Linked DNA regions of Anolis sagrei. The protein of the gene in region 1 interacts with the protein of each later gene in a biochemical or structural test. Links are inferred from orthologs where the notes say so. Each region holds a gene or a part of one and is shown on either strand. Other genes may lie near its edges. The genes, in order: HTR2C, LIN7C, APBA1 and SNTA1.

What was found.
Region 2: the proteins of HTR2C (region 1) and LIN7C form a complex in vitro, tested with the Homo sapiens proteins (2 studies listed by BioGRID and IntAct, with this or other methods). The link is inferred for Anolis sagrei from reciprocal best matches to the Homo sapiens genes HTR2C and LIN7C.
Region 3: the proteins of HTR2C (region 1) and APBA1 form a complex in vitro, tested with the Homo sapiens proteins (2 studies listed by BioGRID and IntAct, with this or other methods). The link is inferred for Anolis sagrei from reciprocal best matches to the Homo sapiens genes HTR2C and APBA1.
Region 4: the proteins of HTR2C (region 1) and SNTA1 interact in a test that uses a peptide from one of them, tested with the Homo sapiens proteins (2 studies listed by BioGRID and IntAct). The link is inferred for Anolis sagrei from reciprocal best matches to the Homo sapiens genes HTR2C and SNTA1.

What each region holds. Positions count from the first base shown.
Region 1 is NC_090030.1:22,079,838-22,087,095, reverse strand, and holds the start of HTR2C (5-hydroxytryptamine receptor 2C), read right to left. Parts: upstream 3,002-7,258; 5' UTR 2,693-3,001; intron 1-2,692. UniProt on the Homo sapiens protein: G-protein coupled receptor for 5-hydroxytryptamine (serotonin).
Region 2 is NC_090021.1:260,813,147-260,820,070, forward strand, and holds the start of LIN7C (protein lin-7 homolog C), read left to right. Parts: upstream 1-3,912; 5' UTR 3,913-3,980; coding exon 3,981-4,017; intron 4,018-6,924. UniProt on the Homo sapiens protein: Plays a role in establishing and maintaining the asymmetric distribution of channels and receptors at the plasma membrane of polarized cells.
Region 3 is NC_090022.1:222,038,602-222,045,477, forward strand, and holds the start of APBA1 (amyloid-beta A4 precursor protein-binding family A member 1), read right to left. Parts: upstream 3,008-6,876; 5' UTR 2,828-3,007; intron 1-2,827. UniProt on the Homo sapiens protein: Putative function in synaptic vesicle exocytosis by binding to Munc18-1, an essential component of the synaptic vesicle exocytotic machinery. May modulate processing of the amyloid-beta precursor protein (APP) and hence formation of APP-beta.
Region 4 is NC_090024.1:208,951,784-208,959,596, reverse strand, and holds the start of SNTA1 (alpha-1-syntrophin), read left to right. Parts: upstream 1-4,806; 5' UTR 4,807-4,925; coding exon 4,926-5,214; intron 5,215-7,813. UniProt on the Homo sapiens protein: Adapter protein that binds to and probably organizes the subcellular localization of a variety of membrane proteins. May link various receptors to the actin cytoskeleton and the extracellular matrix via the dystrophin glycoprotein complex.

The DNA.
Region 1 (7,258 bases):
ATGAAAGCCTTCGAGGGTACATTATGTTCCTTTTTATCTGCGACTTCCACTTGCTTTGTTGTGATTGTGTTGGTGTATGCCAGTAAAGGCTTGGTTGTGTTAGAAAATATTAGAAAATATTAGAAAATAATAATAATAATAATAATAATAATAATAATAATAAATGTTTCCACTGTAGAGCTTGGGTTGTGTGTCCCTTTGGTGTACCTCACCGAAACCCCCCAAAGGAATGGTTTTGGCATCTCCAAGATCCTCCAATTGGTGCCTGGGCTTCTTTCTTCTATCCCAGCAATGAACCCGTTCCAGTCTACTGGTGTAAGTCTTTTCAATGCTAATCAAGGTGATTAATTGCAACATTCACACCTGACTCCAGCAGACAAGAGTTCTTTCTCCCACCCTGAACCTTCCACAGATATATCAACCTCATTTGCCTAGTTTCCAACAGACCTCACAACCTCTGATGTTGCTTGTCATAGATGTGGGTGAAATGTCAGGAGAGAATGCTTCTGGAACATGGCCACACAGCACAGAAAACTCACAATTCAATTAAGACTCACAATTCAATTAAGACTACGGTGTCCTGGAAGGGCCAAGAGAGCCACTGGGATGCCTTGGGGGTGAGGAAGTATACACTGAAAGGACCCCTCGTTCCTGAAGTCCCATCATCCTCCAAGTAGGGCTTCTTGGAGGGAAAGGTAGGCTTCCTGTTGGCTTGCAGAGCCTTCCCATGGCTATTCGTTCCATGTATTGTCGAAGGCTTTCACGGCTGGAATCACTGGGTTGTTGTATGTGTTTTCAGGGCTTTGTGACCATGTTGCAGAAGCATTCTCTCCTGACTTTTTGCCTGCATCTATGGCAGGCATCCTCCGAGGGTTCAATGTATTTCATGGCTGGAATCACTGGGTTGTTGTGCGTGTTTTCTGGGCTGTATTGTCATGCTCCAGAAGCATTCTCTCCTGACCTTTTGCCCACATCTATGGCAGGCATCCTCAGAGGGTTCAGTGTATTGTCAAAAGCTTTAATGGTCAGAATCATTGGGTTGTTAGGTGTGTTTTCCGGGCTGTGTGGCCATGTTGAAGAAGCATTCTCTCCTGTCCTTTTGCCTGCATGTATGGCAGGCATCCTCAGACAGTTCAATGTATTTTCAAAGGCTTTAATTGCCAGAATCATTAGGTTGTTGCGTGTGTTTTCTGAGCTGTATGGTCATGTTGAAGAAGCATTCTCTCCTGACCTTTCGCCCACATCTATGGCAGGCATCCTCAGAGGGTTCAATGTATTGTCGAAGGCTTTCATAGCCGAAATCAGTGGGTTGTTGTGTTTTCCGGGCTACATAGCCACATATCCTCTGAAGATGCCTGCAATAGATGCGGGCGAAACGTCAGGAGATAATGCTTCTAGAGCATGGCCATACAGCCCGGAAAACATACACAACAACCCTGTGATTCCAGCCATGAAAGCCTTCGACAATACATGAAATGAATCGCTGGGTTGTTGTGTGTTTTCCGGGCTGTATCGCCATGTTGCAGAAGGATTCTCTCCTGACCTTTCGCCCACATCTATGGCAGGCATCCTCAGAGGATTCAATGTATTGTTGAAGGCTTTCATAGCAGGAATCACTGGGTTGTTGTGTGTTTTCTGTGTTAACCTCTGAGGATGCCTGCCATAGGTGCAGGCAAAACATCAGGAGAGAATGCTTCTGGAGCATGGATAGACAGCCCAGAAAACACACACAACAACCCGGTGATTCCAGCCATTAAAGCCTTCGACAATACATGAAATGAATAGCTGGGTTGTTGTGTGTTTTCCGGGCTGTATGGCCCTCTTGTCGAAGGTTTTAATGGCCAGAATCATTGGGTTGTTGTGTGTTTTCCGGGCTGTATGGCCATGCTCCAGCTGTATGGCCATGCTCCAGAAGCATTCTCTCCTGACCTTTTGCCTGCATCTATGGCAGGCATCCTCAGAGGGTTCAATGTATTCTCGAAGGCTTTCATAGCGGGAATCATTGGGTTGTTGTGTGTTTTCTGTATTAACCTCTGAGGATGCCTGCCACAGAGGCAGGCGAAATGTCAGGAGAGAATGCTTCTGGAGCATGGCCATACAGCTGGAGCATGGCCATACAGCCCGGAAAACACACAACAACCCAATGATTCTGGCCATTAAAACCTTCGACAAGACATTAAACCCTCTGAAGATGCCTGCCATTGATACAGGCAAAAGGTCAGGAGAGAATGCTTCTGGAGCATGGCCATACAGCTGGAGCATGGCCATACAGCCCGGAAAACACACACAACCACCCAATGATTCTGGCCATTAAAACCTTCGACAATACATTAAACCCTCTGAAGATGCTTGCCATAGATGCAGGCAAACGGTCAGGAGAGAATGCTTCTGGAGCATGGCCACGCAGCCCGGAAAACAGCAACCCAGCTCTTCATTCCTCCAAGTGTGGCTCTTCCAAGAGGGAAAGAGACAGAGGGAGGGAGGGAAAGCAACCTGTAGGAATCACCCTCCCCCAAACCTCGCAAAGCAATGCGCCTCCAAGCGCAAGGAGGCGAGAGACACGCGTTCCTGCCCGCATTCACACACCAGGGATGCCCCCAAATCCATCACTCAGTCCTTCCTTCCCTTGCAGCGCCGCGAAAAGAGGCAAACGTAGGGCTATTTCCTAGCCAAACCCGACGCGGGAGCCTACCTGGCAGGGTTGTCGCCCAACGCTTGGGGGGCTCTCCTTTGGGGGCTCCTCTTGGCCATGGCCGCCCCACAAAAGAGGGAAAGGAAGAGGCAGAGAGAAGCAGCGGCTCCGTTCCTCTCTCCAGCCGCCAGTGGGGATGAGTGAGTGACCCACCAAAGGAAAGAGGGAAGGAGGGAAGGAGGGAGGGAGGAAGAGAGCGGGGGAAAGCGCCTCTCCGCGTCTTAAAGGCGCCTCCTCGACCACCTCCAAAAGCAGCAGCCCTGCTTCCTCCCTCCAGAGAGAAAAGGGGGGGGGGCTGCTTCGAGGAGGAGCTGGGCTGCTAGGAGGGATCTCTCCCGCCTGCAAAGAAGGATTCGCCCATCCTCAGTCTTGATAGGGACAGATTGGAACGGCTCCCACATTGAGGAATCATAGATTCCTAGAGTGGGAAGAGACCTCCTGGGCCATCCAGTCCAACCCCATTCTGCCAAGAAGCAGGAATATTGCATTCAAAGCACCCCTGACAGATGGCCATCCAGCCTCTGTTTAAAAGCCTCCACTACAGTCCCCAGGGAAGCAGAAAACAAGCTTGCTCCCTCCTCCCTGTGACTTCCTCTTACATATTTATACATGGCTATCATGTCTCCTCTCAGCCTTCTCTTCTTCAGGCTAAACATGCCCAGCTCTTTAAGCCGCTCCTCATAGGGTTTGTTCTCCAGACCCTTGATCATTTCAGTCGCCCTCCTCTGGACACATTCATAAAATCATAGAATCAAAGAGTTGGAAGAGACCTCATGGGCCATCCAGTCCAACCCCCTGCCAAGAAGCAGGAATATTGCATTCAAATCACCCCTGACAGATGGCCATCCAGCCCCTGTTTAAAAGCTTCCAAAGAAGGAGCCTCCACCACACTCCAGGGCAGAGAGTTCCACTGCTGAACGGCTCTCACAGTCAGGAAGTTCTTCCTCGCGTTCAGATGGAATCTCCTCTCTTGTAGTTTGAAGCCATTGTTCCGCATCCTAGTCTCCAAGGACTAGGCCTATGTTTCAAAACCTCCAAATCAGTGTTTCTCAACCTGGGGGTTGGGACCCCTAGAGGGGTCGCAAGGGGATGTCAGAGGGGTAACCAAAGACCATCAGAAAACACAAAGCATTCCCGACAGATGGTCATCCAGCCTCTGTTTCAAAGCCTCCAAATCAGTGTTTCTCAAGCTAGGGGTCGGGACCCCAGAGGGGTCGCAAGGGGGTATCAGAGGGGTCACCAAAGACCATCAGAAAACACAAAGCATTCCCGACAGATGGCCATCTGGCCTATGTTTCAAATCCTCCAAATCAGTGTTACTCAACCTGAGGGTCAGGACCCCTAGAGGGGTCGCAAGGGGATGTCAGGGGTGTCACCAAAGACCATTAGAAAACACAAAGCATTCCCAACAGATGGTCATCCAGCCTCTGTTTCAAAGCCTCCAAATCAGTGTTTCTCAACCTGGGGGTCAGGACCCCTAGAGGTGTCGGAGGGGTCACCAAAGACCATCAGAAAACATAAAGCATGGGAAAAGGGGGATAAAGGGTTAATCTCTAGATTATACAAATACATACTAAGCTATAACATGGACAACAACAGAGTCAAGACAGTAATGTTATCCTGGGCCAAGGACCTAGGCAGACCAATAGAACTGGACAAATGGAAATACCTATGGAACAAAGTATTCAAATTTACTTCATCGGGTTCAATCAGGGAGAATCAATACAAAATGTTTTATAGGTGTTATATCACTCCAGCAACATTGGCTAAAATAGACAAATCACAACAAGGTATTTGCTGGAGGTGCAGGAAACAGAAAGGGACATTCCTCCACATGTGGTGGACCTGTGTGATCATACAGGAATTTTGGGATAAGGTAATTAAGGAGACAAATAAAATGTTACATAACAAGATTTAAAAAAAGCCCAGGACTGTGTCTGCTAGGTCTACAGAGAGAAAACAATAATCAAAAGGACCAAGAAATATATCAATATAGCTTTGCAGCGGCAAGATTGACCATAGCCAAAGATTGGAAAGGGGGAAAAGGTCTAACCAAAAAGGATTGGAGAGAAAGAATGCGAGAATATATGCTAATGGCCAGACTAACTTATAACAGGAGGAATAAGAGTAATGAGGACTTTCTAGAAAAATGGAAGTTGGCCATGGCATATCTGAATAGAGAGTCAGTAATATAGAGGCCAGGAAATCAGAAGACGCTTACTTCTTGGGAGGAGAGCAATGTCCAGTCTCGACAAAATAGTAAAGAGTAGAGACATCAGACTGGCAACAAAGATCCGCCTAGTCAAAGCCATGGTATTCCCTGTAGTAACCTACGGATGTGAGAGCTGGACCTTAGGGAAGGCTGAGCGAAGGAAGAGAGATGCTTTTGAGCTGTGGTGTTGGAGGAAAGTGCTGAGAGTGCCTTGGACTGCGAGAAGATCCAACCAGTCCATCCTCCAGGAAATAAAGCCCAGCTGCTCATTGGAGGGAAGGATAGTAGAGACAAAGTTGAAGTACTTTGGCCACATCATGAGGAGACAGGAAAGCCTAGAGAAGACAATTATGCTGGGGAAAGTGGAAGGCAAAAGGAAGAGGGGCCGACCAAGGGCAAGGTGGATGGATGGCATCCTTGAAGGGACTGGACTGACCTTGAAGGAGCTGGGGGTGATGACGGCCGACAGGGAGCTCTGGCGTGGGCTGGTCCATGAGGTCACGAAGAGTCGGAGACGACTGAACGAATGAACAATATAGAGGAGCTCCATTAGGAATTTAGGTTTACCATGAATAAGGAGAGATAAATAGGCTTAAAGGCTTCATAGTGTTTCGGTGTGGGAAGCCATGGTGAAGGGTGCACGGGTGTGGGGATGAGGGTTTATTTTGTTTAGGATAGGGGTTTTGAGATGAGTGTAAGGTCTGTGGTATGTGTGTAAAATGCCATGTGCTGTTTTCCTGAGTGTTATGGAAAAAATTTAATACAAAGCTCTGACTGAAAGCAGTGGAAAACAGGCAGAAATAGCAAGTCTATGTGTATTAAGATATGTAAATGATAATAATTTGTAATTAATGACAAAATTAACTGATTGATTGAATAAGGTAGATAGGCATGTACACGTCAAAAATAGTGGTACCTTATTTTATCTGCCATGTTTTGCTTTTCTGTTATGTACCATAATCAAAATAAACAGTTTTAACAAAACAAAAAAAGAAAAAGAAAAGAAAACACAAAGCATTCCCGACAAATGGCCACCCGCCCCTGTTTCAAAGCCTCAAAATCAGTGTTTCTCAACCTGGGGGTCGGGACCCCTAGAGGGGTCGCAAGGGGGTGTCAGAGGGGTCACCAAAGACCATCAGAAAACACAAAGCATTCCCGACAGATGGCCATCCAGCCTCTGTTTCAAAGCCTTCAAATCAGTGTTTCTCTACCTGGGGGTTGGGACCCCTAGAGGGGTCACAAGGGGGTGTCTGAAGGGTCACCAAAGACCATCGGAAAACAGTATTTTCTGTTGGTCATGGGGGTCTCTGTGTGGGAAGTTTGGCCCAATTCTAACCTTGGTGAGGTTCAGAATGCTCTTTGATTGTAGATGAACTATAAATCCCAGCAACTACAACTCCCAAATGTCAAGATTCTATTTTCCCCAAACTCCACCAGTGTTCACATCTGGGCATATTGAGTGGGTGAGGTGATAGTCCTTTGTGATATTAGGGTTTTTCTCAGTGACCCCTTCTTGCTGCCAAGCAGGGAAAACACAAAGCCCTCCCGACCTTGTTCCCTTTCTGATGGGAAATGGAACTTTGTAAAAGGAAAAAGCTGGCAAAGGCACCACTAGAGATTCCTGGCCTTTGAAAACCTAAGGCCGAATTGAGAAGAGGTGCAAAACTTATTTCACAGTAAAAGACTTTGCAGAGAGGAAAGAGGAGGGGCGAACTTTTCAAATACAAATGAAGTACAGAAAGATGCATTGCATTTTATAGTGTATCATGGTTACATACATAATCTATACGTAATGGCATTGAGTGACTAAAAATACCTTGACAAAAAGAAAGGCAAGATTATGATAAATGTTATACAATTAGGTCACCTTTGTATACTTTATGTAAACACGCACATATACAGCATATACAGTATACACATACACACATGCTTGTTAAGAGCCTTGATAGGACAAAATATTGTAAGACTCTCTCCCATTGTAGGGTTGGGAAGATTTCTTTCAAATAGGATATTCATGTTTGATTATTATGATTAATAAAGGTTGTCCCCTGACTTTAAGTCCAGTCATGTCTGACTCTGGGTCATCTCCATTTCTAAGCCGAAGAGCCGGCGTTGTCCATAGACACCTCCAAGGTCATGTGGCCGGCATGACTGCATGGAGCGCCCTTACCTTCCCGCTGGAGCGGTTCCTATTGATCTATTCACATTTGCATGTTTTCGAACTGCTAGGTTGGCAGAAGCTGGGGCTGACAGCGGAAGCTCACCCTGCTCCCTGGAATCGAACCTGCGACCTTTCGGTCAACAAGCTCAGCAGCTCAGCGCTTTAACCCACTGCGCCACCAGGGGCTCATTAT
Region 2 (6,924 bases), on another chromosome or scaffold:
CCAATGATGGAATTGAACCAAACACACAGAAGTCCCATGACCAACAGAAAATACTGGAAGGGTTTGGTAGGCATTGACCTTAAGTTTTGGAGTTGTAGTTCACCTACATCCAGAGAGCACTGTGGACTCAAACAATGATAAATTAGGACTAAATTTGGTGTGGATATGCAATATGTCCAATTGTGAACACTGGTGGAGTCTGGGGTAAACAGACCTTGGCATTTGGGAGTTGTAGTTGCTGGGATTTATAGTTCGCCCACAATCAAAGAGCATTCTGAACTCCACCAATTATAGATTGGGCCAAACTTTCCACACAGAACCCCATGACCAACAGAAAATACTGTGTTTTCTGATGGTCTTTGGTGACCCCTCTGACACCCCCCTCACAATCCCCCAGGGGTCCCGACCCCCAGGTTGAGAAACGCTGCAATAAAGGCATTTCAATGAAATACTATTAGAATCTTACTGATGTACAAACTGTTAAAAAGTAGAACAGAAATCCCTTTAAGGTGGTTGATTCAGCTGCATCTGCATGGCCATGTATCAGGGAGGCATCTACTGAGGATTTTATGCATCAGGAGAAGTTAAGATTAAACTCTGAGTCTATGATCTCATACATTTTAATTATTTATCTACTGAAATTTTAATTCTCCATTCTTTATCCACGGCTCTCAGGATGACACATAGTAAAATCCATGTTGACAGTTTACAACATTTGAAAATAATAAAAGCAATTCGAATAGACCTAAAACACATTAAAGGATCTGACAAGTTAACACAAGTTTAAAACCAGTCAAAGCAGTTTAAGACCATTTAAACCATGCAAGTGCACAGGTATATCCATTTAATAAACTAGCCCCAAAGGCTCTGGCACAAATGTTTTCTCTTCGTATGGGAGTGCCACCACCACCAGTGCCAAATGGCTTCTAAGAAGGAGAGTACAATTAGCCCTTCACATCCACGCACATTAGGGATCCTTGCAAAAATGGAAAACCACTGCTAAGACTGCTAAACTCTTCCACAAACATGCATCCTTATGGAGCCACCAAGACACTGCTGCCAGATTTTTAATGCCCTTTCTCCAGTCTCCAGTGACTTTCTCTCTTTACTCCTCTTCCTCCCAGTTCTCCTCCCTGGATCACATGTCCTTCCAAAAGCACTGTCAGGTTTTAAACCCCTTGCAACCCCGCAACCCATTCAAGTATCAAGGTTTGTTTTATTACTAGCAACTTGAATTCAGAAAAAAACATACTGGCAGGCAATGCAATTCCTTTAGAAACAGTGTGAGCTGCAAGGCCATGCAAAGCTAATCTGGCATGGGCAAATCTTTTCAGGTGTTGTGGAATTCGGAACTAAAATTGGAAGTTTCCCACTTCCGACTTGGGTTCTGATGTACAATGGTGAGTTGGAAGACCCCTATAGATCCGAAGTGACCCGGGCTATTGATTTCAATGGTTCGGAAGTCAATTCGGATGTCTGACTAAGTTAGCCTGCTGGGAGGTGCAGCCTAAAGTGCTTGCCTCCTAGCCAATCAGGGATTACGTTTGAAAATAAGAGGGGTTATCAACATATGGCTTACTGGCTCATTGCAGGGCAGGGATGAGAGTGGTTGTTGGGTGTTTTTGCTGCTGCTGTTGACTGGGTGGATGGAAGGGGAGGCAAGGCGATAGGCACTGCAGCCCACACTTTGAAGGTTTGAACAAGAGAAGAAGGGAGAAGGGGGGAAGGAAGAAAAGTTTTGGAGAGAGAAAGAGGGAGAAAGAAGATTGAAGAAAACATTTGGGAAGGAGGGAGAAAAAATTAATCAAGCATGAGAAGACTTTGAGTGCTGGGTTTTTTCTTGGGGTTCAAACAGCCTGCCTTTTGCCTTTGCTTGTTGCTTGTGTTGGATAATATATCCCATTAGTCCTACTGCACCCTCGTGGTCTGCCTTCCTCATGCCTGAGGGAATGCATCCAAGTTATTTCTTTTGGGGGGTCCACCAGCCTGCCTTTCGCCTTTGCTTGTTGTGATCCCCTATTACCTTATGTCTTTTCTGAGAAAATTCAAGGAGGCAGCTCTTTTTTAAAAAAAGAAAATATTTTTGCAATTCTTTAAAAAAAACTCTTAAAAATCAGTGGATCATGTGAACATGTTCAAATTTGGTATGCTAACAGAGGAGGATGTGTTCTACCAGTATATCAATAGAATTGGTCTAAAAATGAGGGAGAGAGAAGCCCCTGAAGTTTCCCCAGTGCCAGTGCTGTTTTTCCCTCATTGCGCAATCATGTCCGCCATTAATGAATCAATTTGGAAGTTTCGGAAAGTTTCATTTTTTTAAAAAAAAAAAATTCAGAAGTGACTTTAGATTCAAACCACTAGTGTCCCCTACTTTTGAACACAGTTTAGAACCTTTTATTTTATTTTTTTTAGATGGCCCATGCCTATCAGGGTTGCTAATTGCAACATTCACATTTGCCTCAAACAGAGAGTTCTTTCTTGCACCCTGGACATTCCATCTATCTGTCTATACACATAATAAAAGTAAAAGTGAAAATGTGTCTGTGTGTATGTGGCAAAGATATCCACCTAAAAAAGATAACATCCTGCCTCCTGCAGTGCTAAGGAGCCACCAGAGCTCCTTAGCACTCCCTCCAGGGACATTGCAATGAGCACCATGAACGTGTCCAAAAGCCCTGCCAATGACCTCCACAAACACCATACTGCCCCCCGCTCAAGTGAAGGCTTTCATATTGGAACAATTTCATCCTGGATTTCATGTTTTTCCACCAGAATGGACATCCTAGGATTCCTTTCTCCCTCCATTGCTGTGTAATTTGCATGACCCCACCCACTGCCTCTCCCTTAACCCTTTCCTACCCTTTCGTATGGTTTGGAGAGTAGTTCACCCTGCACCCAGAACACTGAAACCCACCAATGACAGAGCTGGACCAAACATGGCATACAGTACCCTGGTGACCAACTGAATATATTGAAAGGGTTTGGTGGAGGACTATCCCACCTGCGTGGGAGCTGTAGTTCACCCTGCACCCAGAAAGCATCCTGAAGCCCCAATGGGAGATCTAGAACAGTCGCCTTCGGGCTGAGAGTGGCGGTTAACAAGTGCAAATAATAAATAATAAATAATAAATAAATAGAACAAACGTGGCACACAGAACCGTGATGAGCAACAGAACATACTGGAAGGGTTGGAGGGGGAATTACCCACCTGTGTGGGAATTGTAGTTAATCCTACATCCAGAACCCCATCTATGTCAGATCTTGACCAAACTTGGCACACAGATCCAACATGCCCAACGGTGAATAAAGGCAGAGGTTGTTTTTTGGGGGGGAGGGGATTGCCCTGGGAATCTGGGAGTTGTAGTTAACCCTACATCTAGAACCCCATCAATGACAGATCTTGACCAAGCTTGGCACACAGATCCAACATGCCCAACTGTGAATACAGGCGGAATTTGGGGGGGGGGGGGTGATTGCCCTGGGAATCTGGGAATTGTAGTACACCTGCATCCAAAGAAACGGTGACCCTTACTGACAATAAAGCGGAATCAAACTTGGCACAGAGAAGCCCAATGAGCAACCGAACATACTGCAGGCTTTGTGGGAATTGGCCTTGATTGTGGGAGTTGTAGTTCACCTACACCCAGAGAACTCTGTACCCAGCCTGGTGTAGATATACGCCTTGTAACACTTCTCCAGCTCCCAGGACTCCCTAGCATTGAAGCAGGACAGCTACAGTAGCGACAGTAATGTCAGACTGTGTCAATTGCACAGCGTAGCTGCCCCAGGTCCTCTCTTTGCGCGCAGCACGAGACTGAACAGGGGGGAAGCCCTTGGTCAGTTTGCAAAAGGCGCTAAGGCCGTGCAAAGGGCGTTTTGCAAAAGGAAGGGAGGCGGGCCGAGCCCATCCTCTTCCTCGCAGCAGCTCCGCCTCGCCCGGGCGTCACTTCCCCGGGAGGAGAGAGGAAGAGGAGGAGAAGATGGCGGCGCTGGGGGAGCCTGTACGCTTGGAGAGAGGTGAAAACCGAGGGGGGCGGGGGTTGGTGGGGTTTCCCAGCCAGATACTCAGTCAGTCAGTCCGGGGAGGATCCGCAGAGCAAGAGGGGCGCGCGCGCAGGGCGCAGAGCCAGAGCTCTTGTTTACAAGGCAGTCGTTTAAAGGACGGTCGCAGCGCGTGGGGCTGATCAGGAAGCAGCTCTTAGGACCCTTGTCTCCCAGCTAAAGACCCAGTGAAAGTGCAGCCAGTATAGCCCTGATCCTGGATGTTTGGGACCAGCAGTGTTTTGGATGTCTGATAGATAATTCCCCCTCCCCCGCCAGATTTTGGAATATTTGTTGTTAGAGGCAATGCCACTCTGGGTTTTTGTGAGTTTTCCAGGCCATGTTCCAGAAGCAGTCTCTCCTGACGTTTCGCCTGCATCTATGACAGGCATCCTCAGAGGTTGGGGAAGTCTGTTGGAAACTAGGAAAATGGGGTTTATATATCTGTGGAATGTCCAGGGTGAGAGAAAGAACTCTTGTCTGTTGGAGGCAGGTGAGACTGTTGCAATTGACAACCTTGATTAGCATTTAATAGCAGATAGGTAAACCCCAATTGCCTAGTTTCCAACAAACTTCACAACCACGGAGGATGCTTGCCACAGATGCAGGCAAAATGTCAGGAGACAATGCTTCTAGAACGTGGCCATACAGCCCAAAAAACCTACAACAACCCAGACCTCACAACCTCTGAGGATGTTTGCCAAAGATTGAGGTGAAACGTCAGGACAGAATGCTTCTGGAACATGGCCATACAGCCCAGAAAACTCACAACAATCCAGTGCCACTCTGTAAGTAGTTTATAGGCTTACCAGGAAAGGGGGGGGGGAGACTGTTGCCCTAAATTCCTCTATTCCAAGACCACCAGATTTCTGAGAACTCCTTGATTCATATTATTTAATAGTTGAAAACATGACTTCTCTCTGATTCTCTCCCTCGTCATAGTAAGTGCTACAGGTTGAGTATTATCCGAAATACTTGCCTTCAGCATTGGGTGCCTTTTTTTTCACTCTCCAGATTTTGCCATACCTGTTAGTAGCAGTGTCAATGGGGGCATCTACACCAGGAATCTACACTTGGGACCTTCAGGCGTTTTGGACTTCAACTCCCACAACTGGCTGTTTGGAATTGTGGGAGTTGAAATCCAAAACACCTGGAGGGCCCAAGTTTGCCCGTGTCTGATCTACACCATAGAATGTATGCAGTTTGGCACCAGTTTAACTGCTACAGCTCAATTCTATTGGAAGCATGGCAGATGTAGTTTTACAAGTTCTGTAGCCTTCTCTGCCAAAGTGCTGGTGACTCACCAAAATGCAAATCCCATGATTCCACAGCATACAGCCATAGCAGTTAAAAGTGGTATCAGACTGCATTAATTCTACAGTGTAAAAGCACCCGATATCACTCTGTCAGCAGTTTATAAGCTTATATATTAGGAAAGGAGCAGAAACAGACCATCAGATTTCTAAGAACTCATTCATAGAATCATAGAATCAAAGAGTTGGAAGAGACCTCCAGTCCAACCCCCTGCCAAGAAGCAGGAATATTGCATTCAAATCACCCCTGACAGATGGCCATCCAGCCTCTGTTTAAAAGCTTCCAAAGAAGGAGCCTCCACCACACTCCGGGGCAGAGAGTTCCACTGAGAGTTCATTGATTAGTATTATTTAATAGCGCAAACATTTCCACTCTCATATCTTCACTTTCATTGTGTGTATACTATTACAGTAAAAGTAAAGGTTTCCCCTAACATTAAATCCACTTGTGTCTGACTCAGGGGAGTGGTGCACATCTCCATTTCTAAGCCAAAGAGCCGACGTTGTTCATAGAGGCCTCCAAGGTCATGTGGCTAGCATGACTGCATGGAGTGCTGTTACCTTCCTGCCGAAGCGGTACCCATTGATCTACTCACATTTGCATGTTTTCAAACTGCTAGTTGGCAGAAGCTGGGGCTAATAACGGGAGCTCACCCCACTACCCAGATTTGAACCACTGACCTTTCAGTCAGCAAGTTCAGCATCTCGGCATTTAACCTGCTGCACCACTGTGGGTTTCATGTATACTACTACACATTGAGTATTCCTATTCACACATGTTCAAGATCAGAAATGTTTGGGATTTTGGAATAGTTGCATTTGCATGTACATACGTAAGAGGATATCCTGGAGATGGGACCCGTCTAAACATGAAAATCATGTTTAGACTTTACACATAGCTTGAGGATATTTTTTAATAATTTTATATATGAAACCCAATTTGTGTAGACTGAAACATCAATGTTTTTAATCATTTTATGCATGAAACAAATATTGTCCAGATTGATTGAATCGTCCGGAAGCAAAGGTCTCACTATCTCAACCAGATTATTCCAGAGATAAGTGAGGTCCAACCTGTCCTGTATTGGTTTAAGTTGAAGTAGCAAAGTGCTCTTCTATGAAATTAAAATCCATACATTACATGAAATACACAATAGCCCATATACAAATATAGGCCACCCCCCCCCCCCCAATGTATGTACTCTTTAACAGTTAATTGTAGCTATGGTGATTATGAGCTTCCAAATTGATCAAAGGTCTAGAAACGTAGCCCTATGAGGAGTGATTTAGGGAGTTAGGTATGTTTAGCTTGGAGAAAAGGCTGGCAGGGGACATGATAGCCATGTTTAAATATTAGAAAGAGTGTCACATGGAGGAGGGGGCAAGCTTTTTTTTCCTGCTGCTCTGGAGACTATACTATACTGATCACTTAAGTCAGTTTCAAATTGGTATTGAAGAAAATAGTTTTGCTGTGCAGATGATTACATAGGAATTCCTGTCTGAAGCCTAGATGGTGATGACACAAACCACAGAGCACTGATGTACATTAAGGACTTTCTTTTGCACAGTT
Region 3 (6,876 bases), on another chromosome or scaffold:
CTCTGTTCGCAACCATGTAGGTGCAAAATGTATCTGGGGAGTGGGGGAGGTCTATTACCAGTCATACAGGTGTGCAATTTATTATTATTATGGATTATGATAATAATAATACTTTATTTCTAACCCGCTCTCTCTCCACAAAGGGACTCAAGGCAGCTTCCAAAGACAAAAATGGCAAACATTCAATAAGAGAGATCCTCTGGAGCAGAGGAGATATAGGCTCTCATTTTGCTCTCTACTACCAACCATATAGTCCCTCCAGGGGTGAGAAAAGCGGTATATAAATACTGTAAATAAATAAATATAGGTGTAACATTGATCCATATGGAGGGAGAAATCTTTTGGAGCAGAGGGGAAATAGACTCTGATTTAGTTCTCTACTACCAACCATATAGGAGTAGCACTGATTCCTATGGAAGGAGAGTCCCTTTGGAGCAGAGGAGAAATGGGCTCTAATTTAGTTCTCGACTACCAATCCTACAGGTGTAACACTGATTTCAAATAGAGGGAGAGATCCTTTGAAGCAGAGGAGAAAAAGGCTCTAATCGATTTGCCCCAAAGAAATGGGAAATTATTGTTTCCATTTGATGTTTGATGTTCTGTTTATGTCTATTATAATAGGCTGTGCTTTTTATTTAATTTAGTTTGTTAAGTTATAATTCGTATTTATATGTTGGGTTGTATAAATTTTGTTAGTATGGATGTATTGTTGTATTCAGGCATTGAATGTTTGCCTTTTATATTTGGAATTTGCCCTGAGTCCCTTTGGAGAGATAGAGTGGAATATATATAAAGTTTTATTATTATTTTATCTAATTTTGTTCTCTACTACCCACCATATAGGAGTAGCACTGATTCATATGGAGGGAGAGTTCCTTTGGAGCAGAGGAGAAATGGGATCTGATTTAGTTCCCTATAGGGTTGTTTTTTTTTGTCGTGTCAAGAGCGACTTGAGAAACTGCAAGTCGCTTCTGGTGTGAAAGAATTGGCCATCTGCAAGGACGTTGCCCAGAGGACGCCTAGTTGATTTTATGTTTTTATCATCCTTCTGGGAGGCTTCTCTCATGTCCCCGCATGAGGAGTTGGAGTTGATAGAGGGAGCTCATCCGCCTCTCCCCGGATTCAAACCTGCGACCTGTGGGTCTTCAGTCCTGCCAGCACAGGGGTTTAACTCATTGCGCCACCAGGGGCTCCAAACCCTATAGGTGTAACACTGATTCATATGGAGGGAGAGATCCTATGGAGAAGAGGAGAAATAGGCTCTGATTTTGTTCTCTACTAATCATACAGGAGTAACATTGATTCATATGGAGAGGGAGATCCTTTGGAGAAGAGGAGAATTAGGCTCTCATTCTGTTCTCTACTACCAACCCTATAGGTGTAACATTGATTCATAGCGAGAGAGAGATCTTTTGGAGAGGAGGAGAAATAGGCTCTGATTTTGTTTTCCACTACCAACCATACAGGAGTAACACTGATCCATATGGAGGGAGAGATCCTTTGGCGCAAATGAGAAATATTCTCTGATTTAGTTGATTTAGTTTTCTACTACCAGCCATACAGGTGTAACACTGATTCATATGGAGAGATCCTATGGAGCAATGGGCTCTGATTTAGTTACCTACTACCAGCCATATAGGTGTAACACTGATTTATAAGGAGGGAGAGATCAATTGGAGCAGAGGAGAAATAGGCTCTGGTTCTATTCTCAACTACCAACCATACAAGAGTAACACTGGTTCACATGGAGGAGGAGATCCTTTGGAGCAGAGAATTAGGCTCTGATTCTGTCCTCTACTACCAACCATATAGGTGTAATACTGATTCATATGGAGAGAGAGAGAGATCCTTTGGAGCAGAGGCTCTGATTTTGTTCTCTACTACCAACCATCTAGGAGGAGCACATGGAGGAGATCCTTTGGCGCATATATGTGTAACATTAATTCATATGGAGGGAGAGATCCTTTGGAGCAGCGTTGAATTTGGCTCTGTTTCTATTCTCAACTACCAGCCATATAGATATAACATTGATTCACATGGAGGAGGAGATCCTTTGGAGCAGAGGAGAATTAGGCTCCGATTATGGTCTCCCTCCACCACCAACCATATAGGAGTCACATTAATTCATATGGAGGGAGAGATCCTTTGAAGCATAGGCTCTGATTCTGTTCTCTACTACCAACCATCTAGGAGTAGCATTGATTCATGAAAGAGAGCACTCCCCTGGAACAGATTCCAATTTTGTCCTCTATTATGAAGCATGTAGGTGTCAATTTTATTTATATGGAAGGAAGCTGAGGAGAAACAGGGCTCCAATCCATATTACCAACCACACAGGTGTAAAGAAATATTCATTTTGGAGGACAGCGAGATCTCTCTGGAGTAGAAGAGAAACGGGCTCCAATTCCCAACCATTTAGGTGTAAGGCTTATTTGTAGTAAGGAGGGAAATCTGGAGCAGAGGAGAAGCAGGCTCCAATCTCAATCTCTCTCCTTCTAGGTTTCCAATGCACTGCTATGGAGGCATGCAAGCACACCCCCGCATGCATCCAGGCCCTCTTGCTTGGCAGGGAGATCCCCATTTTTCCCCCCTCCAACAGCACCATTGATGATCCCTTTCCCCTCCAGTTCCATGCACTGAATACATACAGAGGCAAGCAAGGCAAGCATGCATCAAGTCCTTCCCCTCCTCCCAAGGCCCCTCTTCAGCTTCCTTTCCATCTCTTAGAAGATCCCCGTTGTTAGCTTATCCATTGATGAGCTACCCATTGATTATTTCTCTCCCCTCGCCCCCAAATCAAAAGGAAAAAAAAAGAGAGGAGGGTTACCTTCTTTTTCCTTCCTCCAGGGAACCTGCGCATCGAGGGGGGAATCTGGATCTGGATGGAGGCGGAGGTTAGAAAAGGGAGCCCAGGCAGGCGCGCGCCCTCTTTCCCTCTCGCGCGCGCTGCGGCCGCCTCTCCACCATCTTCACCCTCCTCCTTCCTCCTCCTCTTCTTCTTCCTCCTCCTCCTCCTCCTCCTCCTCCTCCGCAGCCCACCCGCTGGAAAGCCAGCAAGCCCCGCCCCTCCGGCCCCTCCCTGGGCCCGCCCCTCCGGCGCCCGCGTGACTCCCGGGCCTGGCAATGAGGAGGAGGAGCTGCAAGGCTTGCAGCTGCAAGGAAGGACATCTCTGCAAACGCAAAGCAAGGCCAGCACAATGTGGCTGCGGGAGGAAACAGGAGGAAGAGGAGGAGGAGGGACTAGGCCCGCTGACCAGCTACACCAGGCATGGCCAAACTTCGGCCCTGCAGGTGTTTTGGACTTCGACTCCCACCATTCCTAACAGCCTACCGGCTGTTAGGAATGGTGGGAGTCGAAGTCCAAAACACCTGCAGGGCCGAAGTTTGCCCCAGTGCTGTGGCTTCCTGGGATTTGTAGTTTCATAAGGTCCTTTTTAGCCCTTTCTCAAAGACTTCAGAATAGGCCCTATCAATGAGAGACCTCTAGGGTTGTATCTATGCTGTAGAGCAGCGTAGGGACATCCGTAGGGAGACCAAGGTGCTTGTTTATAAAGCTATTGTCCTCCCAACCCTGTTATACACCTGCGAGAGGTGGACTGTCTACAGACGTCACATGCAGCTCCTGGAACAATTCCATCAGCGCTGCCTCCGGAAAATCCTGCACATCTCTTGGGAAGACAAGTGGACAAATGTCAGCGTGCTGGAAGAAGCAAAGACCACCATTAACTCCATTTGTCCGGCCACGTTGTCCGGATGCCTGACCACCGTCTCCCAAAGCAGTTGCTCTACTCCGAACTCAAGAATGGAAAATGGAATGTTAGTAGGCAGGAAAAGAGATTTAAAGATGGGCTCAAAGCCAACCTTAAGAATTCTGGCATAGACACAGAGAACTTGGAAGCCCTGGTCCTTGAGTGCTCCAGTTGGAGGTCTACTGTGAGCAGCAGTGCTGTAGAATTTGAAGAAGCACGGAAAGAGAAAAACGTGCCAAGAGGAAGGTGCGTCAAGCCAACCCTGACCAAGACCGCCTTCCACCTGGAAGGCAATGCCCTCACTGCGGGAGAACATGCAAGTCAAGAATAGGGCTCCACAGTCACCTACAGACCCACCGCCAGTACACTGATCCTGGAGGACTATCCTACTTGGACAATAAGGGATCGCCTAAATCAAGAGGAGCATTTCTCAACTTGGGGGTCGGGACCCCAGGGGGAGGTGTCTTGAGGGGTTGTCAAAGAGGTCACCAAAGACCATCAGATAACACAGTATTTTATGTTGTTCATGGGGGTCCTGTGTGGCAAATTTGGCCCAGTTCTATCATTGGTGGGATTCAGAATGCTCTGTAGGTGAACTATAAATCCCAGCAACTACAACTCTCAAATGTCAAGGTCTATTTTCCCCAATTCCACCAGTTTTCACATTTAGGCATATTAAGTATCCGTGCCAAGTTTGATCCAGATCCATCGTTGTTTGAGTCCAGAGTGTTCTCTGGATATAGGTGAACTAAAACTCCAAAACTCAAGGTCAATGCCCACCAAACCCTTCCAGTATTTTCTGTTTGTCATGGGAGTTGTGTGCCAAGCTTGGTTCAATTCCATGGTTGGTGGAGTTCAGAATGCTCTTTGATTGTAGGTGAACTATAAATCCCAGCATCTACAACTCCCAAAAGACAAAATCAATCACCTCCCCAACCCCACCAGTATTCAAATTTTGGGTATTTGTGCCAAATTTGGTCCAGTGAATGAAAATATATCCTGCATATCTGTTATTTACATTACTATTCATAACAGTAGTAAAATTACAGTTACGAAGTAGCAATGAAAATAATGTTATGGTTGGGGGTCACCACAACATGACGAACTGTATTAAGGGGTTGCGGCATTAGGAAGGTTGAGAAACACTGCTGTAGAGATACAGGCCTGGGCAAACTTGGACTCTCTAGGTGTTTTGGACTTCAACTCTATGTGTGTGTGTGTGTGTGTACACACACACATATAATAAAAGTGAAAATATGTATGTGTGTATGTGGCTGGAGTGTCTACTTATAAAGACTAAACTTCTGCCTTCACAAACAGCTCTAACTCCCAACTACCCAGGACACACCGATGGCCCTCCCTCCAATAATACTGCAGGTTATACTGAGTGCCTAAACATGTGCAAGAGGCCTGCCAATGTCCTCCACAAACATCATACTGCCCACCACCCAAGTGAATGCTTTCATATGGGGGCAATTTCATCCTAGATGTTATGTGTTTCCTCCTCCACAGACATCCCACTGTTTCTTACTCTCTCCATTGGTGTGGAATTTGCATGACCCCACCCATGGCCTCTCCCTTAACCCTTTCCTATTATTTTATATGGCACACAGCAAACAGGAATTGATCAGCAGCTGAACATACTAGAGGGGAGAATTCACCATGATTTATAGGAGTTGTAGGTACTGGGATATATAGTTCACCTGCAATCAATGAGCACTCTAAATTCCACTAAAGATGGAATCAGACCAAACTTGGCACACATCTTTGGGGGAAGTTCACCTTGATTTGGGTGAGTTGTAGCTTACCTACACCCAGAGAGCACTATGAACCCAAACACCGATGGATCTGGACCAAACTTGGCACACATACCCAACATGCTGAAATTTGTTTACTGGAGAGGTTTGGAGGGAAATTGACCTCTCTTTCTGGGAGTTGTAGTTCATCCACAACCAGATAAACTATGACCCCCACCAGTGATGGACCTGGATCAAACTTGGCACATAGAATGCACATGACTAACTCAACCTACTGGAGGGGTTTGAGGGGACTGACTCGCCATAGTGGGAGTTGTGGTTTACCCTACAACCAGAGAGCACACTGAAGCCAACCGATGATATATCTAGAGCAAATTGTGGTGATCGTTTTGCTGTCTGTGCCCCTGTTCAGCAAATTTCACCTCATTTTCTGTCTGATAATTAGATTTAAAAAACTTTGGCTTGTTGTGGAAACATTTTTTTCCTGTGTAAGGAGCGATTTGAGAAGCTGCAAGTCACTTCTGGTGTGAGAGAATTGGCTGTCTGGAAGGACACTGCCCAGGGGATGCCCGGATGTGGAGACCCCTTTTCCCCATGGTGGACTTTTCTTCCTAGAGGCAGATTTCTCTCACTTCCTGTTGTCTCATCCTCATTCTTAACTACTGGTGATTTATTAGTCAGATGTTTGTAACTTAGGGACTGCCTGGGTTAAATATTTAAGAGAAGTTAAAGACTAACACTTCAACTCTATGCATGCTTGTGTAGAAGTCCTACAGTGTTCAGTGAGGTTACTCCTTATAAAGTGTGCATAAGACTGTAGTCTAAAAACTATACAATATCTCAATATACAATATCTCAATATATGTTATTTCCCACAGTCACCTACAGATGTGAGAGCTGGAACATAGAGAAGGCTGAGTGAAGGAAGATAGATGTTTTTGAACTGTGGTGTTGGAGGAAAGTTCTGAGAGTGCCTTGGACCGCAAGAAGATTCAACCAGTCCATACTTCAGGAAATAAAGCCTGACTGCTCATTGGAGGGAAGGATAATAGAGGCAAAGATGAAGTACTTTGACCACATCATGAGGAGAAAGGAAAGCTTAGAGAAGACAATGATGCTGGGGAAAAGGAAGGAAAAAGGAAGAGGGGCTGACCAAGGGCAAGATGGATGGATGGGATCCTTGAAGTGACTAGATTGACCTTGAAGGAACTGGGGGTGGTGACAGCAAACAGGGAGCTCTGGCATGGGCTGGTCCATGAGGTCACGAACAGTCGGAAACAACTGAACGAATGAACAACAAATTTCAATATAAAATTAAGCGTACAATATTCTCCCTTAAAAACAATTTTCCATAGTGTATACATTAATAT
Region 4 (7,813 bases), on another chromosome or scaffold:
GGAATTTGTACTATATTTGACACAAAATGTTTATGACAAATGTTTATTCAGTTCTTCATCCATGGAACATGGATCAGTGTTCCCCAAATGCCTCCATCCTTACAACCATCCTGTGAGATAACACGTGAGCCCTGGTTATCCCATGAGCTCCATAGCCAAGTGCTAATTTGAACTTACAGACCCCATATGATACTAATTACTATACTAATTGGTACTGAGCCCCCGGTGGCGCAGTGGGTTAAACCCCTGTGCCGGCAGGACTGAAGACCGACAGGTCTCAGGTTCAAATCTGGGGAGAGGCGGATGAGCTCCATCTATCAGCTCCAGCTCCTCATGTGGGAACATGAGAGAAGCCTCCCACAAAGATGACAAAAACATCAAAAATCATCCAGGCGTCCCCTGGGCAACGTCCTTGCAGATGGCCAATTCTCTCACACCAGAAGCGACTTGCAGTTTCTCAAGTCCCTCCTGACACGACAAAAAAAATACTAATTGGTAATAATAATTAGTCCCCTGGTAGCGCAGAGGGTTAAATCACTGAGCTGCTGAACTTGCTGACCGAAAGGCTGGTGGTTCGAATCTGGAGAGCGGGGTGAGCTCCCGCTGATAGGCCCAGCTTCTGTCAACCTTGCAGTTCAAAAACATGCAAATGTGGGAAGGTAGCTTGTGCTCCATGCAGTCATGCTGGCCACATGACCTAGGAGGTGTCTATGAGCAATGCCAGTTCTTTGGCTTAGAAATGGAGATGAGCACCCCCTAGTCAAACACGACTAGACTTAATGTCAGGGGAAACTTTTACCTTTACTTCACTATACTAAGCTCTCCAAATTTTCAAGATAATGAGGAAAATACATTTTCAAACTCAAATGGGGAGTTCCAGCTGTAAAATGTCATGGAAGCTGCTTGCTCTTAACATTTGTTATTGGCACAACAAAGAGCTACTATTAAGGTTAGTGACAAACAACAAGTGTACCTATTTTCCTCTGACAAATGCATCTGCCTGTGGCAGGCCATTCAAGGAGGGAAACAGAACAATCCACAGGGAATGTAATGTCGAAGGCTTCCATGGCTGGAATCACTGGGTTGTTGTAGGTTTTTCGGGATATATGGCCATGTTCTAGAAAAACCTACAACAACCCAGATCCACAGGGAGTTTTCTCCTAGCGGAGGACAGACCTTCTTGTGGTAATTCAGACCATGTTTACACTGCCCAGTAACATTATGTTTTTGGGAGTGGTGTACAGAAAGAAAAATAAAACCACAGAAATATTTCCTGAAGTGCAAAACATTCTAAACACGGAATCTAAACAATAGCAGCAACAGAAGCACCCACCGTCTATACAAGTCAAAAGAATTCTTGAAAAGGATTGTTTTCATTTTATCAAGACTTTTCAGTGTTTGAGCTCTGTTAGAAGGGCCTTTTCCTCTCTTGCTGATCAATATGTTGTGGAAAGATATGGGGGTGGGGGGTGGGGGAGCACCTCAATTGTGGAATGCCCTTCTTTTGGAGGACCAATGAAGGCTTCATTTCAGCACAATGTCAACCATGGCTGTTTATTAGTACCTTTGGAGCCATGTTGATTTATTTCTAACACATTCAAGCCCATAGCTAGAACGTTTTAGTATTTTAAATCTATTTTTGACTCGTTGAAAGTGTTGAATATATATTTTAGTCTGTTTAAATGAGGACTCTTGTTTTAAAGAGTTTTAAAATTGGTGTAACGCAGGCAAACCTATGCCCTCCAGTTGTTTTGGACTTCACCTTCCACAATTCCTAACAGCCTCAGGCTTTAGTGGCTGAGGGGAAAAGGAAAGGGCCCGAGGCTGTTAGGAATTGTGGGAGTTGAAGTCCAAAACACCTGGAGGGCCCAAGTTGGCCCATGTCTGGTTGAACGTGTGTATCACTCTGAGATGTTATAGGGCAAAATAAAGTTGCCCCTCATCATATTGGGTTTTTTAAAAGACTGTTTGAATTAGGTTCATTGATTTGAAGAGTTTTAAATTGATTTGACTTGTGTGCCACCAGGAGATCTTACAGGGCAGTATATATTTGTGGGTTTCTTTTGTGTGGATTTGATTATTATTTGTGAGTTTTTAGCTCTGCCACCTTGCCCCTCTCTGCCTGCCTTGTTTGGGGCCATTTCAGGCCCCTGGGCATCTCCAAAGGCGACGCAATGGGTTAAACCCTTGTGTCAGTAGGACTGCTGACTGAAATGTCAGTGGTTTAAATCCAGGGAGCTTCCATCTATCAGCTCCAGCTTTTCATGCAGGGACATGAGAGAAGCCTTCCACAGGATAGTAAAACATCTGGGCGTCTCCTGAGCAATGTCACACCAGAAATGAAAAAAAAATCTCCAAATCTCCAAAGGTCAAGCAGACAGATCCCTACTCTTCCACCAGATATCTTGGCTGCATCTATTCCACCTGTCAAATTCAAGGCCCAAAGGCCTAACTATTTTATGTGACCCTCTTCCAGATGGACTACAATTACTGCATCCCTCATCCCTCATTTAAACATGACTAGGCCTGATGGGAATTGGGACACAGTAAAATTGGGAGGCTGCACTTTGTTCTGTTTAGTCAGGACAGTAGAGTTTGAATTTAGCTCTTGCTCCTGCCAACCTATCAGTTCAAAAATATGCAAATGTGAATAGATCAATAGGTATCGCTTTGACGGGAAGGTAATAAAGGCGTCCATGCAGCCATGCCAGCAACAAAACTAGGTGGTGTCTATAAACAACAGGCTACTCAGCTTGGAAATGGAATAAAAGTAACTCCCTGTGGTCAGCATTGAACGCTGCTTCCCAAAACTGGAGATGAAAGGGAAAGCCTGTAAAATAGTTCAAGAATTCTGGAAAAAGGTGGTGAAAGAAACAAACAATATGATTAACAAAAAGGTCAAGGAAAACCCAGAAATGTGGTTAGTAGGACTATTTAGAAGGTGTATTTGCACAAGAAATGAAGAAATTTATCAATATTGCTTTGTTGCTGTGAGACTAATAATAGCTAAAACATGGAAGGGTGGAAAAAGAGTTCGCTATCAAAGATTGGAGAGATAAATTAGTAGATTCTATCCAAATGGCCAAGCTGACAAATAGTAGCAGAGGAAGAAATAATGAAGGATTTGCAAACAAATGGAGGCTGGCACTTGGACATCAGGAAAAGAAGACAAAGGTAGATTTGAAGATTTCCACAAAGAGATTTTATGAAAGAAGACATATGGGTAGTTGCTGGGTAGTTATGTGATCCACATTGAGGGGCGTCAGACACCATGGGGGTTGGATTCACGGATGTGGGGTTAGATGGATAAGAAATGGGGTTAGATGGATAAGAATGCTCTTTGATTGTATGTGAACTATAAATCCCAGCAACTACAAACGTCAAGGTCTATTTTCCTCAAACAACACCAGTGTTCACATTTGGGCATATCGAGTATTTGTGCCAAGTTTGGTCCAGATCCATCATTGTTTGAGTCCACAGTGCTCTCTGGATATAGGTGAATTATAACTCCAGAACTCAAGATCAATGGCCCACCAAACCCTTTCAGTACTTTCTGTTGGTAGAGGGAGTTCTGTGTGCCAAGTTTGGCACAATTCCATCGTTGGTGGAGTTCAGAATGCTCTTTGATTGTAGGTGAACTATAAATCCCAGCAACTACAACTCCCAAATGTCAACATCTATTTTCTTCAAACAACACCAGTGTTCACATTTGGACATATTGAGTATTCATGCCAAGTTTGGTCCAGATCCACCATTGTTTGAGTCCACAGTGCTCTCTGAGTGTAGGTGAACAACAACTCCAAAATTCAAGGTCAATGGCCCACCAAACCCTTCCAGTATTTTATGTTTGTCATGGGAGTCACTGTGCCAAGTTTGGCCCAATTCCATCGTTGGTGGAGTTTAGAATGCTCTTTGGTTGCAGGTGAACTATAAATCCCAGCAAGTACAACTCCCAAATGTCATGGTCTATTTTCCTCAAACAACACCAGTGTTCACATTTGGACATATCGAGTATTTGTGCCAAGTTTGGTCCAGATCCATCATTGTTTGAGTCCACAGTGCTCTCTGGATGTAGGTGAACTACAACTCCAAAACTCAAGGCCAATGGCCCATAATAATAATAATAATAATAATAATAATAATAATAATACTTTATTTATACCCCGCTACCATCTCTCCATGGGACTCGGTGCGGCTTACATGAGGCTGAGCCCGTAATACATCAATACAAGCAATAACAGACACAATACAAGGCCCACCAAACCCTTCCAGTACTTTCTGTTGGAAGAGGGAGTTCTGTGTGCCAAATTTGGTTCAATTCCATCCTTGGTGGAGTTCAGAATGCTCTTTGGTTGTAGGTGAACTATAAATCCCAGCAACTACAACTCCCAAATGACAAAATCAATCCTCCCCCATCCCAGTGGTATTCATATTTGGGCGTACCAGGTGCCAGATTTGGTCCAGTGAATGAAAATACACCCTACATCTCAGATATTCACATTATGATTCATAACAGTAGGAAAATGACAATTATAATGTGATGTTTGGGGGTCAGCACAACCTGAGGAACTGTGTTGAGGGGTCGCGGGGCATTAGGAAGGCTGAGCAACACGATGCCGTTTGTCACCCCTGGCACTGCTTTACTTAGCTCGACGCTGTGGCATCAGGGCAGTTGTCATTGGGCGAGACCTTGCCCAAGTGCGGCTCCCGGGATTCCAGGGCATGGAGCCTTAGCAGTGCAAAGCGGTGCCAACCCGCGTTGGTTCCTCGGTGTGGAGGCGCGGGGCGGGAGGCGCCGGGGGCGTTGCTCGGTGGGCGGAGAGGCGGAGAGGCGGCGGGGCTGGAGCCGGAGTCCGTCCACCGAAGGCAGAGCGAGGAAGCAAGGAAGGAAGGAAGGGAGAGAGGGAGGAAGGAATGCGCTGAAGATGGCGGCCGGGCGGCGGGCGCCCAAGAGCGGCTTGCTGGAGCTGCGGGCGCCGGGCGAGCAGTGGTTGCGGGTCCTGCTGGCTCTTTCCGAAGACTTCTTGAGCGTCAGTCCCGGCGGAGGAGGAGGAGGAGCGGGGAAAGGGCCCGAGGAGACGCCGCCGTCCAGCCCCGGGCAACTGAATGGCGGGGACCCGCCGCCCGCCCTGGTCCCGGACGCCCTCACCAACATTAAGCGCACCGTCCGGATCGTCAAGCAGGACGTGGGCGGCCTTGGCATCAGCATCAAAGGTGGGTCTCCTTCTCCTCCTCTTCTTTTCTGGGGCTCCCCGAGAGGTCGCTCTCTGCCCGTTCTCCCCCTTGATCGCCTAGCTAACCTTTCACCCTCTGGAGCCCCTTTTAAACCTGCTTTCTTTAGTTTAGCCCCTTGCCAACGGGATCCGGACTAAGTTTGTTTCCTTCCCAGCTGCGCCAGGAAAGCGCTGGAGGAGAAGTCCCCCCTTGGAAGAAGTTCCCGAGAAGAGAAGGAAAGGGGGAATTGCCCTTGAGAACATGGGAAAGTGAATTTTCCAGGCTATGTTCCAGAAGCATTCTCTCCTGACGTTTCGCCCACTTCTGTGGCAGGCATCCTCAGAGGTTGTGACGTTGAAACGTCAGGAGAGAATGCCTCTGGAACATGGCTTTACAGCACGGAAAACTCACAACAAGCCAGTTGTGAGGTCTGTTGGAAACTAAGCAAGTGGGGTTTATATAGCTCTGGAATGTCCAGAGTAGGAGAAAGAACTCTTGTGTGTATTGCCAAGGCTTTCATGGCCGGAATCACTGGGTTGTAGGTTTTTCAGGCTGTATGGCCATGTTCTAGAAGCATTCCATCTGATCATTAGGAAGAACTTCCTGACTGTGAGAGCAGTTCAGCAGTGGAACTCTCTACCTCAGAGTGTGGTTGAGGCTCCTTCTTTGGAAGCTTTTAAACAGAGGCTTGATGGCCATCAGTCAGGGGTGCTTTGAATGCAATTTTCCTGGTTCTTGGAAGGGGGTTGGACTGGATGGCCCATGAGGTCTACTCCAACGCTATGATTCTATTAATGATTCTAGATCATGGCCATACAGCCCGAAAAACCTACAACAACCCAACTCTTGTCTGTTTGAGGCATTTGTGAATGTTGCAGTTGGCAAACTTGATTAGCCCTGAATAGCTTGGAAGCTTCAAGGCCTGGCTGTTTCCTGCTTGGGGGGATCCTATGTTAGGAGGTGTTAATATCAATCAAGCTGGCCAATTACAACATTCACACTTGCCTCAAACAGACAAGAGTTGCTTCTCCCACCCTGGACATTCCACAGATATATACAACCTCACCTAGTTTCCTCACAATCTCTGAGGATGCCTGCCATAGATGTGGGTGAAACATCAGGAGAGAATGCTTCTGGAACATGGCCATACAGCCTGAAAAACCTACAACAACCCAACTCTTGTCTATTTGAGGCAAGTGTGAATGTTGCAATTGGCTACCTTGATTAGCATTGAATAGCCTAGAAGCTTCAAGGCCTGGCAGTTTCCTGTCTGGGAGGATCCTATATTGGGAGGTGTTAATACTAATCAAGCTGGCCATTTGCAACATTCACATCTGCCTCAGACAAAAATTCTTTCCCACCCTGGACATTCCACAGATAAATAAACCCCACTTGCCTAGTTTCCAACAGACCCCTCAACCTCTGAGGATGCCTGCCATAGATTTGAGCAAAACGTCAGGAGAGAATGCTTCTGGAACATGGCCATACAGTTCCAGAAAACTCACAGCAACCCAATTGTGAGGTCTGTTGGAAACTAGGCAATTTGGGTTTATATAGCTCTGGAATAATATCCAGGGTGGGAGAAAGAACTCTTGTCTGAGGCAAGTGTGAATGTCGTACTTGGCCAGTTTGATTAGCATTGAATAGCCTGACAGCTTCAAGGCCTGGATGTTTCCTGCCTGGGGGGATCCTATGTTGAGAAGTATTAATACCAATCAAGCTGGCCAATTGCAGCAGACAAGAGCTCTTTCTCCCACCCTGGATATTCCACAGATATATAAACCTAGTTGCCTAGTTTCCTCACAACCTCTGAAGATTCCTGCCATAGATGTGGGTGAAATGTCAGGAGAGAATGCTTCTGGAACATGGATATACAACCCAGAAAACTCACAGCAACCCAGTGATTCTGACCATGAAAGCCTGCGTCAACACCATGGAGGTGTCTAGAGACAATACTGGCTCTTCGGCTTAGAAATGGAGATGAGCACCAACCCCAGAGTCAGACACGACTGGACTTAATGTCAGGAGAAAACATTTACTCAAAGCAGCCAAAGAGGAAGCTAAGGACCTTTTTGAAAACTGCAACCCCCGGAATTCCATAGCATTGAGCCTTGGCAGTTAAGGTGGTGTCAAGCTGCTTGCAGTGTTGATTCCCCCTTGGAAGGCCTTGCCTTCCTTCACCCTTCCTGCCCATCCCAGGCATCCCAAGCACTTGCCATATGCCTCTTTCTCAGGCAAAGGGTGTTGCTTGAGCTTCCCACCCAAGGAATGGTGCTGGGTAGGGATGTTCAGGCTTCCCTGCGGATGTGGGATTGCAGTGACATTTCCACCCAGAAAGTGCACCTGTGGATTCCGATTTGTGTGAACCCATTCTTGAGTGTGTCTTCTTCAATCTGAACTGTGATTTCATTACAAAATGTACTGTCACTGCCACTTATATATAGAAATCATGTTTTGTAGAATATATATAAAATTAATATATAAAAATAATAATGATTATATATATATCTTACTCCTTTGGAACCACATACAATCAAATCTCAGGTTCTTAGTTGTGGTTTTATAGTGTGCCTTCTGAAGGTTAAAAAGGTCGGAAAGT